Linked DNA regions of Caenorhabditis elegans. The protein of the gene in region 2 purifies or fractionates together with the protein of the main gene of each other region. This does not show direct contact. Each region holds a gene or a part of one and is shown on either strand. Other genes may lie near its edges. The genes, in order: eftu-2 and abcf-2.

What was found.
Region 1: the proteins of abcf-2 (region 2) and eftu-2 fractionate together in Caenorhabditis elegans (co-fractionation; one large-scale study listed by BioGRID). This does not show direct contact.

What each region holds. Positions count from the first base shown.
Region 1 is NC_003281.10:6,005,852-6,012,331, reverse strand, and holds the start of eftu-2 (Tr-type G domain-containing protein), read right to left. Parts: upstream 2,773-6,480; 5' UTR 2,753-2,772; coding exon 2,125-2,752; intron 2,079-2,124; coding exon 1,704-2,078; intron 1,657-1,703; coding exon 603-1,656; intron 550-602; coding exon 1-549. Other genes in the region: gcna-1 (Germ cell nuclear acidic-1 protein), read left to right, coding at 3,349-3,407, 3,455-3,527, 3,574-3,837, 3,886-4,036, 4,085-4,364, 4,752-5,201, 5,457-5,778.
Region 2 is NC_003281.10:13,458,832-13,465,311, forward strand, and holds the start of abcf-2 (ABC transporter domain-containing protein), read right to left. Parts: upstream 3,408-6,480; 5' UTR 3,377-3,407; coding exon 3,302-3,376; intron 3,243-3,301; coding exon 3,054-3,242; intron 3,003-3,053; coding exon 1,872-3,002; intron 1,815-1,871; exon of another isoform or gene 1,778-1,814; coding exon of another isoform or gene 1,603-1,777; intron 1,461-1,602; coding exon of another isoform or gene 804-1,460; intron 756-803; coding exon of another isoform or gene 751-755; exon of another isoform or gene 715-750; intron 589-714; coding exon 460-588; intron 406-459; coding exon 202-405; intron 1-201. Other genes in the region: tag-164 (Major sperm protein), read left to right, coding at 751-755, 804-1,460, 1,603-1,777; T27E9.2 (Cytochrome b-c1 complex subunit 6), read right to left, coding at 3,526-3,753; ant-1.1 (ADP/ATP translocase), read left to right, coding at 4,400-4,457, 4,566-4,630, 4,676-4,896, 4,950-5,508; cdk-5 (Cyclin-dependent-like kinase 5), read right to left, coding at 5,987-6,073, 6,126-6,206.

The DNA.
Region 1 (6,480 bases), 7.5 Mb from region 2:
CCTGGCATTGGTGCATCAGTGGTGACGTGACCACGTCGTTTAGCTAACACTGTATATACAGCAGCTACACAATCAGCTGGTGCAACAACTTCCACTGTATAGTATGGCTCCATTAATCTTGGCGTGGCCATAAGGAATGCAGAATAGGCACATCGGCGTGCAGTTGGGATCATCTGACCTCCACCTCGATAAAGTGGTTCTGTGGCGATTGCGGCATCGAGAAGTTTGAACTTCACTTGACGAATTGGTTCCTCACACAATGGGCCTTCTCTGGTTGCCCATTGGAATCCTTGAACAAGAGATTCTCTGACAGTTGATAGCAAGTGTTTGTCAACTTCCGATGGCAATGTGTCATCTAGAAGAATGTTGGGTCCTGTAGTATCAGGGCCAAATGCCCAAATTGAACGAGCTGCCAAAAGATCCCAGTTGTACTTGGTCTGGAAGAACTCTCCAAGACGCCGTCTATTCCATCCGATTTGAACAACTTCATTTTCGATGTCCTCATCCAACTGTTTTTCTAGAGGTTCAGCCATCATTGTGATTTTATTTCTGAAAAAATTGATTAAAAATTATTGTTTTGAAAAAATTGAATGAAAACCCACTTTTTGTTGGGAGTCTCTGCAAAACATTTCAGCGTACTCGTTTCGATGACAGTCTCGTTGAATGTGACAACTGGATCAGCAACTTTGATATCAATCTCTGAGAACACCTTTCGCATGTCGTGCATCACACAGTCCATATAAAATTCTCCAGTTCCGAGCAACACGTGCTCTCCGGATTCTTCAACTCTAGTCGTCAGCAACGGATATGACTTGTTGACTTTTCTCAAGCCATCCAACATTTTCGGGAGTTCGGATGGATTAATCGGCTCTACGGCAAGTTTCACGCAACTGCGAGTGTTGAATTTGAGAGGACGGAAAATGTAGACATCTTCCTCGTATCCCAACTCAGCAATGGTTGCAGTTTTAACAATTGGCTGATCAATTCCTTCAATAAGTACCCAGCAACCTGCAGGAACACGAGAAACTTCAATCTGATAACTGGCAACACGCACAAATAGTCTTCCAACTGTCATTCTTCGGCAATCTTCTTCATCTTGAATACTGTAGTTCTCTCCAAGTACACGGACGTCTGTATTTGCTTCCAATGTTCCGCTCATAACACGTCCAAATACATGGAACTGAGTTGCATCATCTACGGGATAATTCTTTGTTGTATGAACCATCAATGGTCCTTCAGCATTACATTTCTGCATTTCTTGAGCCAATTGGGAATCAGCTGGTCCAAGATATGTCTGCTCGATTTTAGTTTTCGCATTTTCAAGTGGTGATTTGATATTTTGAACCACCAAATCAACAAATGCACTGAAATCTCCAAAGAAGCGTTTACAGATGAGAGCAATCAATGGACGGACATTCATTTTCTGTTCTTCTTTTGACAAACGAATTCCCAACTCAGCCATCACATCAGGAAGGCAAGTATCGACATCTCCGACGACTTGCGAAAAGATCTTGTACATTGGCTCGAGAATGAACTGCACAAATGTACGTGGAGCATCATGGGACGGCGACTTCTTTACGAATTTGCGAGTTTTCTTCTCGAAGTAAATATCTCCCCAGAGACGGCGAGCAAACTCCTTTGAGTTGAAGGAGTCACCTGGAAAATAAAAATCGTGCAAGACATTAATTTCGTAAGCTTCTTACCATGTTGTTTCGCATAGATATTCGAAAAAGACAATAGAGAAAAGCAGACATTGTATCGTCCCGATGAAAAAATAACGTTGCCGTTAAGTGGAGAGAGTACTGGAACGTCTTCTTCGGCAAAAGTGCTCAATATATTATTGACTTGATCAATGATAAGACGGAGTTTGAAGTAAGCATCTGCTGGTGGAAGCTTCAACTCAAGAAGCAAGCGGTCGATCTTCGAAATGCACAATGTTACTGCAAGCCTCTCTTGAATCGCGTGGCGAATTGCTCGTTCAGTGTTCATCATAACACCTTCATGAGCATCAACCATCACAACAACTCCATCAGCAAGACGGTATGAAGCAGTCATTTCGTCCGAAAAGTTCACGTGACCTAAAATAATATATTTTGTACGAATGAACCACTATAGTTTAGGTACCTGGAGTATCAATTATATTGAGCAAATAGCTTTTGCTTCGACTATCCTGAGCCACAATGCTCACTGGCTGAGATTTAATCGAGCATCCTCTCTGCTTCTCAATGAACAAGATATCAGTAAATCGAGCATCTGCGTCTTCAGCTCTGTAGAACTCTGGATGAGTTTGTTCCATAAGACAATCCAAGAAAGTCGTCTTTCCGTGATGAAGATGACCAGCGATTGCAACATTTCTCATGATATGAGGGCAGTCCATTAAATCAGCTAAATATTCTTTCTTGTAGACAGTTTCCGGGAGAAAACGCTCAGCGGCTTGAAACTTCTTCTTGGATACTGGTTTGACAATTGGTTCAGTGAGTGGCTGAGCGTCTTCCTCTTGGACCAAGGTTTCTACACCTTCCCCGTATACTTCGAGAGCTGTAGCATAGTACTTTTTATCTTCATGAAGAACAACTTGATTCTGGGGAATTTCTTCTGCGTCATCTTCTTCCATTCTGTCTGGTTCATCATCCTCATCCACATCGCTACGATCTTCATCATCACCATTGTCATCAATATCTCCGGCATCATCGTCAGAGTCTAGCTCTGGACCGATATAGTTACCAAACTCATCGTAGAGATCCGAATCCATCGCTCGAGACGTTCAGTTCTGAATAATTAATTCGGTTATGAAAGACTTTCAAAGTAAAAAAGAAGAAATATACAGAGAAGTGAGTATTTGCCTAAAACAAAGAGTCCCAATGAGAATATAGAGCAAATATAAGAGCCAAGATTCAAAAGCAAAAAATACAAATCAAGAAGTAACTATGAACACACATTTTGCGCTTGGAAATATGCTAAAATGTGGTTTAAGATATTTTTTCAGCTTAAGAATTCGTTTTCGAAAATCGCTCCCCGACGTTTGCAGTGGAGCGCAGTTGTGGTACTTTCTACAGTAATCCACATTTCCAGAACAGCTCAATTATTCTTGGAAAATCGGTCAATTCTTGCAAATGTTTTTACGAAAAATTGAAAAATAATTAAAATATCATTTTTCTACTCAAAAAAAACGACTTGCTCGAGCAAGTCGAGCAAGTCGCGCTCCAAATAAACCTTGTTCAAAGTTTTGCTCGTCATTTCTGGCAACAAATACGCAATTGCACCAACGGCGCTTAATTTGCCGCCAATCAAAAATTTCAAAGATTAAAATTATTTTTCTCGTATTCTGCAAATCTTCTGTATTCCTCAATGCCTACACCATTTCGAGATCTTCATAACAAAAGTAATGCTTCAGCGTCATCGTACGAGTAAGTTTTTTGGAAGGATTTTAAGATTGTAGGAACATTTTTTGCAGAACAGCATGGAGTTCCAGCTTCAGCAGTCGAAGATCAACTAATAATGATAGCAAATCCAACTTAAAAGAAATTGCAAGCAGTAAAATTCATATATGATGAGCTAATTCTAAAATTTCAGAAAGATGAGCCAATATCAAATCTCGACGAAAGCATTTCAATTCTAGAAAATAATATATCCATGATGTCAGTTAGCTCTCCAACACCAGCCTATAGAACGCCTGCAAGAGTCATTGCAAGAGAAGCTCCAATGACTCCTGGTGATAGATTACTTCAGAAAATTGAAAAAGAAGATGAGAGAGATATGCTTCGACAGTTATATCCGGAAATGTTTGATTCCAACCAGAAACCACGTCAGAAACCAAAAGAAGTCAAAAAAGCATTGGTAATGTTCATATTTGAAATCTGAATATTTTAAAATTCAAAAGTTCAGAAAGTGGAGTCATTGTCAGATTATGAGAATGATGACAAGGAAAATGTTCCTCCGTGTGGAAAACCTTCGAAGGAAAAAGAAGAAAAGAAACAACGAACAAAGAAAATAGTTATTTCATCCGATTCAGAAGATGATGGAAACTTTGAAAACTGTAAACGATGCTCCAAAAAATATTCCGTTTTAATTTTAATTTTTTTAGATCTCAAAACTCTCCGAGAAAAGCCAACGGAGCCAGCTAAACCAGAGAGAAAAATTCCAGTTAAAAAAGATTTTGTAGTTGATGATGATTATATAAGCGAAGAAAGTTCAGAAGAAGAATCTGAAGAAGAGGAAGAAGATGTCGACGATGAAGAATATCGAGAATCAAGTCCAGAAGTTGAAGCGAAGATTAGCTATTCTGATAGAAAACAGAAGAAGCGACCAACTGACGAAGAAGAATGGTTTCTTCTGTCATTGAGTGAGAAGTTCTCAGGACCAATGTAAGATAATTTTTGAGAAATCGAAAATCGAAAATGCTCATTTTCCAATATTTCAATTTCTCTAAATAACGTCAAATTGTGGCGAATTTCCTTTTTTTTTGAAAAAAAATCATGCTTTTTTATCATCAAGATTAACCAACTTAAATCGATTAAAAATGAATTTTTTGTTTTCTAAACATTTTTTCCCATTTCAGTTTTCCGGAAAAGCTAAAAAATTTCCTTTAACGATATAAGATTTTTAGATTTTAGATTTTTCTGAAAAAAAAATCGAACAAATTTTTAGGACACCCTTGCTCTCGATAATTTTCCTACAAGTTTTGCAGAATAAAAATTAATTTTATAAAAAATATAATATAGAGATTAGTTGCTTAAAAAATATTTTTCCAGACACGAAGATGCCAAGGTGTATATCAAGGAAACATCTCTACGTTATAAAAAGCATCGCGAATCCCTTCTCACACGTCTTCAAGACATCCTGGTTCGCCGAATCTTTTCAGCAATTCCATCGGAAAAGCTGAAAGTCATATGGAACGCACGCCTTCGAAAATCAGCTGGCCAATGCAGAAATCATTCAAATGGAAACAGCACTGTCGAAATGTCACCAGTAGTATGTACAACTGCTGAACGAGTACGAGATACACTGATCCATGAACTGTGTCATGCAGCAACATGGGTGGTCGACAGGCTTCATAAAGAAGGTCATGGCCCAGGATGGAAGAGATGGGGAGCTCGATGCTCTTCGGTGTTCAAGTCACTTCCATTTATTGAAAGATGTCATAGTTATGAGATTGAGGCAAAGTTCTTCTATGTTTGTGAGAAAGATGGATGTGATGTAGAGTAAGTTTTTTAATTTATCTAGATATATCTGATAATTCATTAAAAAATAATTTTCGAAAATAATACGTCCAAAAAATAATATAATTTAAAATTTACCTTATTTTTCGGGATTTTGAACTGTCACAAAAATTTATTAATAGTCACAGTCTTATCGACTAGAATTTATAGGAGAGTCTTATAGGGAAGCAAAACACCAGAACCGTCAATCTGATAAATTTCCAATTTCCAATACATAAAAATATAATTTTTCTCCAGAATAAAGCGTCAATCGAAATCTCTCGACACCTCACGAAAAGCGTGCGGAAGATGTTTTGGCAGATTCATTCTCTACCGTTATTGCCGCCGAACGAATACTCGAATCCGTATTGAAGATCCTAAAGCCAAGCCGGTTGGTCCAATTCTTTCCAATTCCTCAAAGCCATCTCCACCAGCTCCTCGTCGTATTGTCAGTGAGCATCCAGAAGGCTTCAAGGAATATTCTGAAGAACACTATTGGAAATACACTGCACAAGGACTAAAACATTCGGATGTGATGGGGAAATTACTAAAAGAATTCAAGGAGCTCAAACAATTATAAATTATTGCTATCATTTATCCGTGCCATGTGCCATTTATCAAAATTTAGTTTGAATTAATCTACGTCAGATTTCTGGATCTTATCGAAAGATTCCCGATTGTGATCAAAGTATTTGATTTTTTCAGAATTTCTTTGTGTTCTTTCTTCAAATCAAATTCATCTCCAAGAGATTTAATTTGATTAATACTCAATAAATATATATTTATTTCACCTCCTATTTTTCGAAAAATATTATAAATAGCTCATACTTGACAGGGGGGGATTGAAAAAGAGGCTAAGATTGGAGGAAAAATAATAATTAACTTTTAAAATTGGCCATAGTTTGGGCGAGAAATTAAGAGAATAGAACAGATGTAGAGGGGGAATACTATTCAATGGGAAGGGACGGAGAACTCGTAACGCGTTCGAAAAAAGTGTGCGGTTCTTGGGTCTCGCACAGAAGGAATAAAGAATCTCAAGAGTTTTAAAAAGAAAACAGAGAATCTTACGACGAAAAGGGATTGGGTGTATGTGTGCGCGGGGTGAAGAACATGAAACCTCGTATTCGGACACAGCAATTGGAAAATAATTGGTCTAGAATCAGGGGGATAACCAGAATCAGAAAATGAATGTGTGTGTGTGTGGGGAAATGAATTTTAAAAATAAGAGTTTTGAAAGTCAAAACAATCGAATCTTGTGTGGACGAATCTGAGATTGATCACA
Region 2 (6,480 bases):
AAAAATGTCTGAAAATGTGTCTCTGGAGTGTGCAAAAGTTGTTTCAAACTACACAAGACTCCCGGAAAGCTACTCAAGATTCTACTTTACGCAGGAGTTGTGCAAGATTGTAGCAAGAATCCGTAAGAGTTTCACTCTACGTAGGACTTCATCGATCAGCGGTGTCACGCGTTGTTAAAAGCTGTAATAAAAATATGTTACCTGCGAAACGAGACGGAAGTCGTGAGAAACAAGAATCATTCCTCCTGGGAAGCAGTTGATAGCCTCGGCCAATGCATCAATGGATTCCATATCCAAGTGATTAGTAGGTTCGTCAAGAAGTAGAAGATGTGGTTGCTGCCAAGCCAACCAGGCGAACGATACACGACAACGTTGACCGTCAGATAGCTGTTTCATCGGGCACACCTGGAAATAAAAAATGTATTACTAGCTATTCATGATTAGTTTATGCTAACTAACCTGTTCTCTTCCAGTAATTCCATATCTTCCGACAATCTTTCTCATTTCTTCCTTTTCCTTGACATCTGGGAACTCCTTCATCATGAATTCAAGAGCCGATAAGTCCAATGGAAGCTCTTCGTGGAGATGCTGAAAGGAAAAATAAATTATTTAGAAAAAAATTAATTTATAATTTCAAAAAATTATTATTTTTTATTTTTTCCGTGAAAAAATTCCAACTCGATGATTATCGACAAGGGGGGGGGGGAATAAATTATTTCTCAATTCTATCAGGAGACGTCCGGCTCGCAAATGAGGTTTGTTTTGAAACAATTGCTAAACCTTATTCAAAACAATAATTTCAGCGAAACAAAAGAAACCGATAACAATCTCAATGAACAGTCTTCTAATGTTCCTGTTCCTGCAGATCCTCTGCAGCCCGAAGTTAAAAAAGATGATAAACAAGAGAGTGAGATGAAAACTGCGAAGGAAAACTCTCAATCTTCGAAGAGAAAGGGAAAAAGTTCCAAGAAATCGTCAAGCAGCAAGAAAACTCGATCGCGTCTTTCAATTCGTCGCACTCTCCGAGATGATCCCAACAAAGAGATGAAAGCCACACTGCTGACATTTCAAGCCATTCGAAATAAAGGCGATCAAGCTCGTGTTCAACTCCTTCTCTGCAACATTTCTGACCGTGACATATTCGTCAAGCTCCGTTGCAGCGCGGCGTCAAACATCACAGCTCTTCCAGCAGGATCAGGACACATTGCACCGAAATCCCAAATGCGCATTCTTCTCACTTGGCAGAAGCCAGATGGTGTCACTCAGTGGAGCGAACTTGGTACGCCTAAGCTTCTGCTGACAACTTATTTCATGCATCAAGGAATGAAAGCGGCTGATGAGGCACCAACTAACACGCGTCTAATGGCTCGTGTGAGCACCTCGAAGCAGTGCGATGCTGATGCTCCACCAATTGAGCAACTTCTTCTTGATGCTGTCGGCAAAGATTTGGGTGTTACTCCGTGAGTTTTGTTCAATTTAGTTCAAAGTCTGATATGAAAGTGGTCAAAAGCCAGGCTAAATTAGCATATTTACACAGACGATATCTAGAATATTCCCACACATTTCGACCAGAAATTTAAGAATAAGAATGATCAATTTCAGAGCTTCAACAACCAGTCCAAACACTGCTGTTACACAGGCTATGACACCGACTGAGCAAACACCAGCGATGAAAACTGTGAAGCAAGATGAGCATGCCGAGGAGGAAGTTGACAATTTGAGATGGATTATTATCGCCCTGGTCTTGGTCATTGTCTTGCTTTTGCTTCAGAAATAGTGTAACTTTCGAATTGAATGAAATGTTTTTCACTAAATTTTTGGATTTTCTAATTTTGTTTGGACAGCAGATTTTTTTCATAAAAATTCCCAACCTGGTGATAACGTCCAATCTTACAATGCGAATGTCTTCTGATCAATCCGTCAGTTGGCATCACATCAGTACAGAGAAGCTTCAACAGTGTCGATTTTCCAGCTCCGTTAGGTCCGACCAAAGCGATTCTGGTATCCAAATCAATTCCAAAGTCAATATCCTTATAGATCCATGGAGTATTCTCGTTGTATCGGAATGAAACATGCTGAACCATGATAACTGGTGGTGGAATCTCCCCAGCATCAAAGAAGTAAAACTGTTTCACGGTTTCAGTGACAGCCTTTTCAGCGAGGCCTCCGGCAATCATCTTAGCCATAGTTTTTTCTTTGGATTGAGCTTGACGAGCGAGTTTGGCAGAACCGTGACCGAACCTCGCGACGTAATCTTTCATGTGTTGAAGTTGAGACTGTTCCCAGTTGTATCGTTTTTGTTGATTTTCGAGCAATTCAAGACGTGTCTTCACAAACTGGTCGTAGTTTCCTCCATAGTAAACCAATTGCTTTTGGAACAAATGAATGATGTTGGTGCAAACTCCGTTCATGAAATCTTGAGAGTGAGAAACCACCAACAAGGTTCTTTTATACTGAGCGAGTTCCTCCTCAAGCCACACACAAGCTTCCAAATCCAAATGATTGGTCGGTTCGTCGAGAAGTAAGACTGACGGTTTCAGGAAAAGTGCACGAGCGAGAGCAATGCGCATTCTCCATCCTCCAGAAAAATCTTTACATTTTTTCATTTGCATAGTTTTTGTGAATCCAAGTCCGTGCAAAATTTCGGCAGCCTTCTTTTCAGCGAGAGATGCATCCATTTCATCCAGCCTTTCGTAAACATCCATCAGCTTGTCCTGACTTTCCTCATCAGTCTGACTAGCAAGCTGCTCGGCAAGATGTTCCAACTCTTTTCTGACTGAATCGACATCAACGACCGCTTGAAGAGCAGTTTTCTCTGAAGCAGGCATTTCACGGGATACGAGGTACATATCCACGGACTCTGGGATTGGCATTTCCTTGTTGTAGATTGCCTGAATGATGGTAGACTTTCCAGATCCGTTCAATCCGATGAGTCCGTAACGACGTCCACGGTTGAGTTCGAGTTTCGTGTCAACGACAATTTCACGACCGTGGAATGTAATCTGAATGAAAACAAAGTTACTTGTTGGAGTCGCCAATTAAAAACCACTTACCGTCAGGCTTTCTACTCTGTGATCAAGACCCTTTGGATCGGAAGTCAATGATCCGGCGACTGAACGAGCAGCAGCGTTTTCCAATTCGATTTTGGCCAAGGTGGCGGCGGCCTGATCGAGCTCCTCGTCTAAACAGCAGAGACTGTTGACGGACGGATGTTGAGATGACATGGCGGTTGGTGTTTCTACCTGGAAATGAGATGATTATTATTTGTTAAACAAAAAAAAACTAAAAATCAATTGCTCACCTTCTTTTTTCCTTTTCCTCCTTTGGCGGCAGCCTTCTTAGCGGCCTCGCGTGCTTTCTTCGCATCAGACGGCATTGTTGTCCAGCAGTGATGCGGATGGGGTACCCTAAATTTTTATTTATTTATCTCTCAAATACACGGAAAAAGCGACGGATAAAAAATACGAGAGCGAAAATTCACATAAACTAGACGAGAAATCCTCAAAAAAAGCAGGAAAAGAAATATTATTTCAACGAAGCGAAGGCCTTTGGCATGGCACAGTGATCCAAATGGTGAACGTAGTCAGCCATCTCCTGATGGCAGGTCTCCTCAGTGTTAGAACGAGAGTTGACACGATCGTTGCACTCGTCGAGAATACTCTTGAATTCGGTGACATGGTCGGCACATCGCTCACGGTATTGAGTAAGTTGATCGACGTCAGCCTCGAGTGGCTCTTCCTTGTGGCTCGACATACTGATACCCGAAAAAAATTCCATGATAGTGACAAGTCATTGGCTCGATGAGAAGAGAAATATGAAGAAAACTACTTTAAAGCGATTCGAAAAACCGGTCATACCAAACTCCCGTAGGCATAAATTAGCCACAATGCGATATCGATTTTTTTCGGAACATTGAGGTTACGAATAACCAGTTATCTACAGTGTAAATAAACAAAAAACACTTCAAGTACTGCTTATCACTAATACACTATTGTGTTTGCTTTGACATGGCTCATAATTTTCATAAAAACTGAAACTTTCGCAATTAAGTTACTTTCTTGGAGTTATGACCTATTTTTCGAAAATAAATCACGTTTTTTTAATAAAACAAAACGTGAAAAATTCAGGAATGAAGGAACGAACACGTTTAGAAAAGAAAAATACGAAAAATCGATAACAAAACTGATATTTAGGCTCAAAATATGCAAAAAATCCCAAAACTGGGCGGTCAGAGAAAACTAGTGTTTGAATCGCCGCGCCTGACGCACCGTACTTGCGAGCGTGGCGAGACCTGCAAAGTGCCTCACGGGCTGTGCGCGCACCCCGTTTCGACGGGCGGCCGTCTTCCCACTATTGCTTCTGGCAAGCACCGACCACCGAGGTCCTTCAATCTTGAATCATGTCCAAAGAAAAGTCCTTCGACACCAAAAAGTTCTTGATCGATCTCGCCTCAGGAGGTAAGCTTTTTCAGTTTTTATTGCAAAAATTTGGAGGATTTCTATAATTATTAATTTTGGGTTTTCATTCGTCAAATTTGTGATTTAATTAATTTTGTTTTCTTTTAGGTACCGCTGCTGCCGTCTCCAAGACCGCTGTTGCCCCAATTGAGCGTGTCAAGCTTCTCCTCCAGGTGTGTGATGAAACTTTTTTCCACTATAAATATGAAAAATTTTAGGTCCAAGATGCTTCCAAGGCTATCGCCGTTGACAAGCGTTACAAGGGAATCATGGATGTTCTCATCCGTGTCCCAAAGGAGCAAGGAGTTGCTGCCCTCTGGAGAGGAAACCTCGCTAACGTCATCCGGTACTTCCCAACTCAGGCCATGAACTTCGCCTTCAAGGACACATACAAGGCAATCTTCCTTGAGGGACTCGACAAAAAGAAGGACTTCTGGAAGTAAGTTAAACATTGCATTATTGTTTTTAGAAAATTTCACATTTGAAATTCAGGTTCTTCGCAGGAAACTTGGCTTCCGGAGGAGCTGCTGGAGCCACCTCCCTCTGCTTCGTCTACCCACTCGACTTTGCCCGTACCCGTCTTGCTGCTGATATTGGAAAGGCCAACGACCGTGAATTCAAGGGACTTGCTGACTGCCTTATCAAGATCGTGAAATCCGATGGACCAATCGGACTCTACAGAGGATTCTTCGTCTCCGTGCAAGGAATTATCATCTACCGTGCCGCATACTTCGGAATGTTCGATACCGCCAAGATGGTCTTCGCTTCTGATGGACAGAAACTCAACTTCTTCGCCGCTTGGGGAATTGCTCAAGTTGTCACAGTCGGATCTGGAATCCTTTCCTACCCATGGGACACTGTTCGTCGTCGTATGATGATGCAGTCTGGACGCAAGGATATCCTCTACAAAAACACCCTCGATTGCGCAAAGAAGATCATCCAAAACGAAGGAATGTCCGCTATGTTCAAGGGAGCCCTCTCCAACGTCTTCCGTGGAACCGGAGGAGCCCTCGTCTTGGCCATCTACGACGAAATCCAGAAGTTCCTTTAAATTTGATAACACTTTGATAATTTTTACCTTGTCATTGTCCAACAAAATCTCGTTATGTAGCTTGTTTTAGCAAAGTAGTTCACCTAGCTACTATGTTAAGTTTTCAAAAATAAAGCGAGCCACATAAAAAGTTTTAAATCCTCTATTAAAGTTTTCCCCTTTTCAAATTCTCATTCTTTCCCTCAACACCCCGATTGAACATTCGTTAGGATAGCCCCTTTATCTGGACTCGGTTTGACAATCTCGGTTATTGCACCTGTGTTTGCCGTTGATCTTTAAAATTACTCGAACAACAATAAAACGTTGTTGATTTTCCCTTCGTTCAATTATGTGCCACAGAAAGATTTCAAACCGTAGCCGTTTATTAACGATGAGATTTTGTTTCGCAAGCAATGAGGTTCATTTGGGGTCAGTGGGGGAAGTGAATGCCAGGGAAAGCGAGAAAACAATGTGAGTAGGAAAGTGCAATAGTGAATAGTTAGACGTCAGAAGTGTCTGCGAAGTACGCATGGCGTAGAGCTGCATCGGCATCGATTCTTCCTGCTGGATTGCAAACAAGAAGTTTCTGCAAATACTTCGAGTTTGAGTAAGTATAATTTTTATTGGAAAAAAGTTACCTGTAAAAGATCACGGCCACGTGAATTCAAATTAGGTACGATTTGGCTCCATGTAAGCGTTGGATGGTAGATTGGGTAGGGCTGAAAAATGGTATGTTATACTTGTGTGTTCCTATAATGCAATGGAATTCAATTAATTATTGTCAATCTTAAATCTAGAACAGTTGTCTCTGCTTCTCTAAATCTACTCAATACTCTGTTCTCTGTCCTGTCCCAGCCGCCCGTGATTGTATGAATTACGTCACCCGAACAAACAGCTGAGCTCAAAGTACTCAATATCATTTCTTCTTTCTATCTTTTTCTTTTTTAGTTTTTCACCAATTGACACGGGCGGATAGTAGTCGGGAGGACAGGA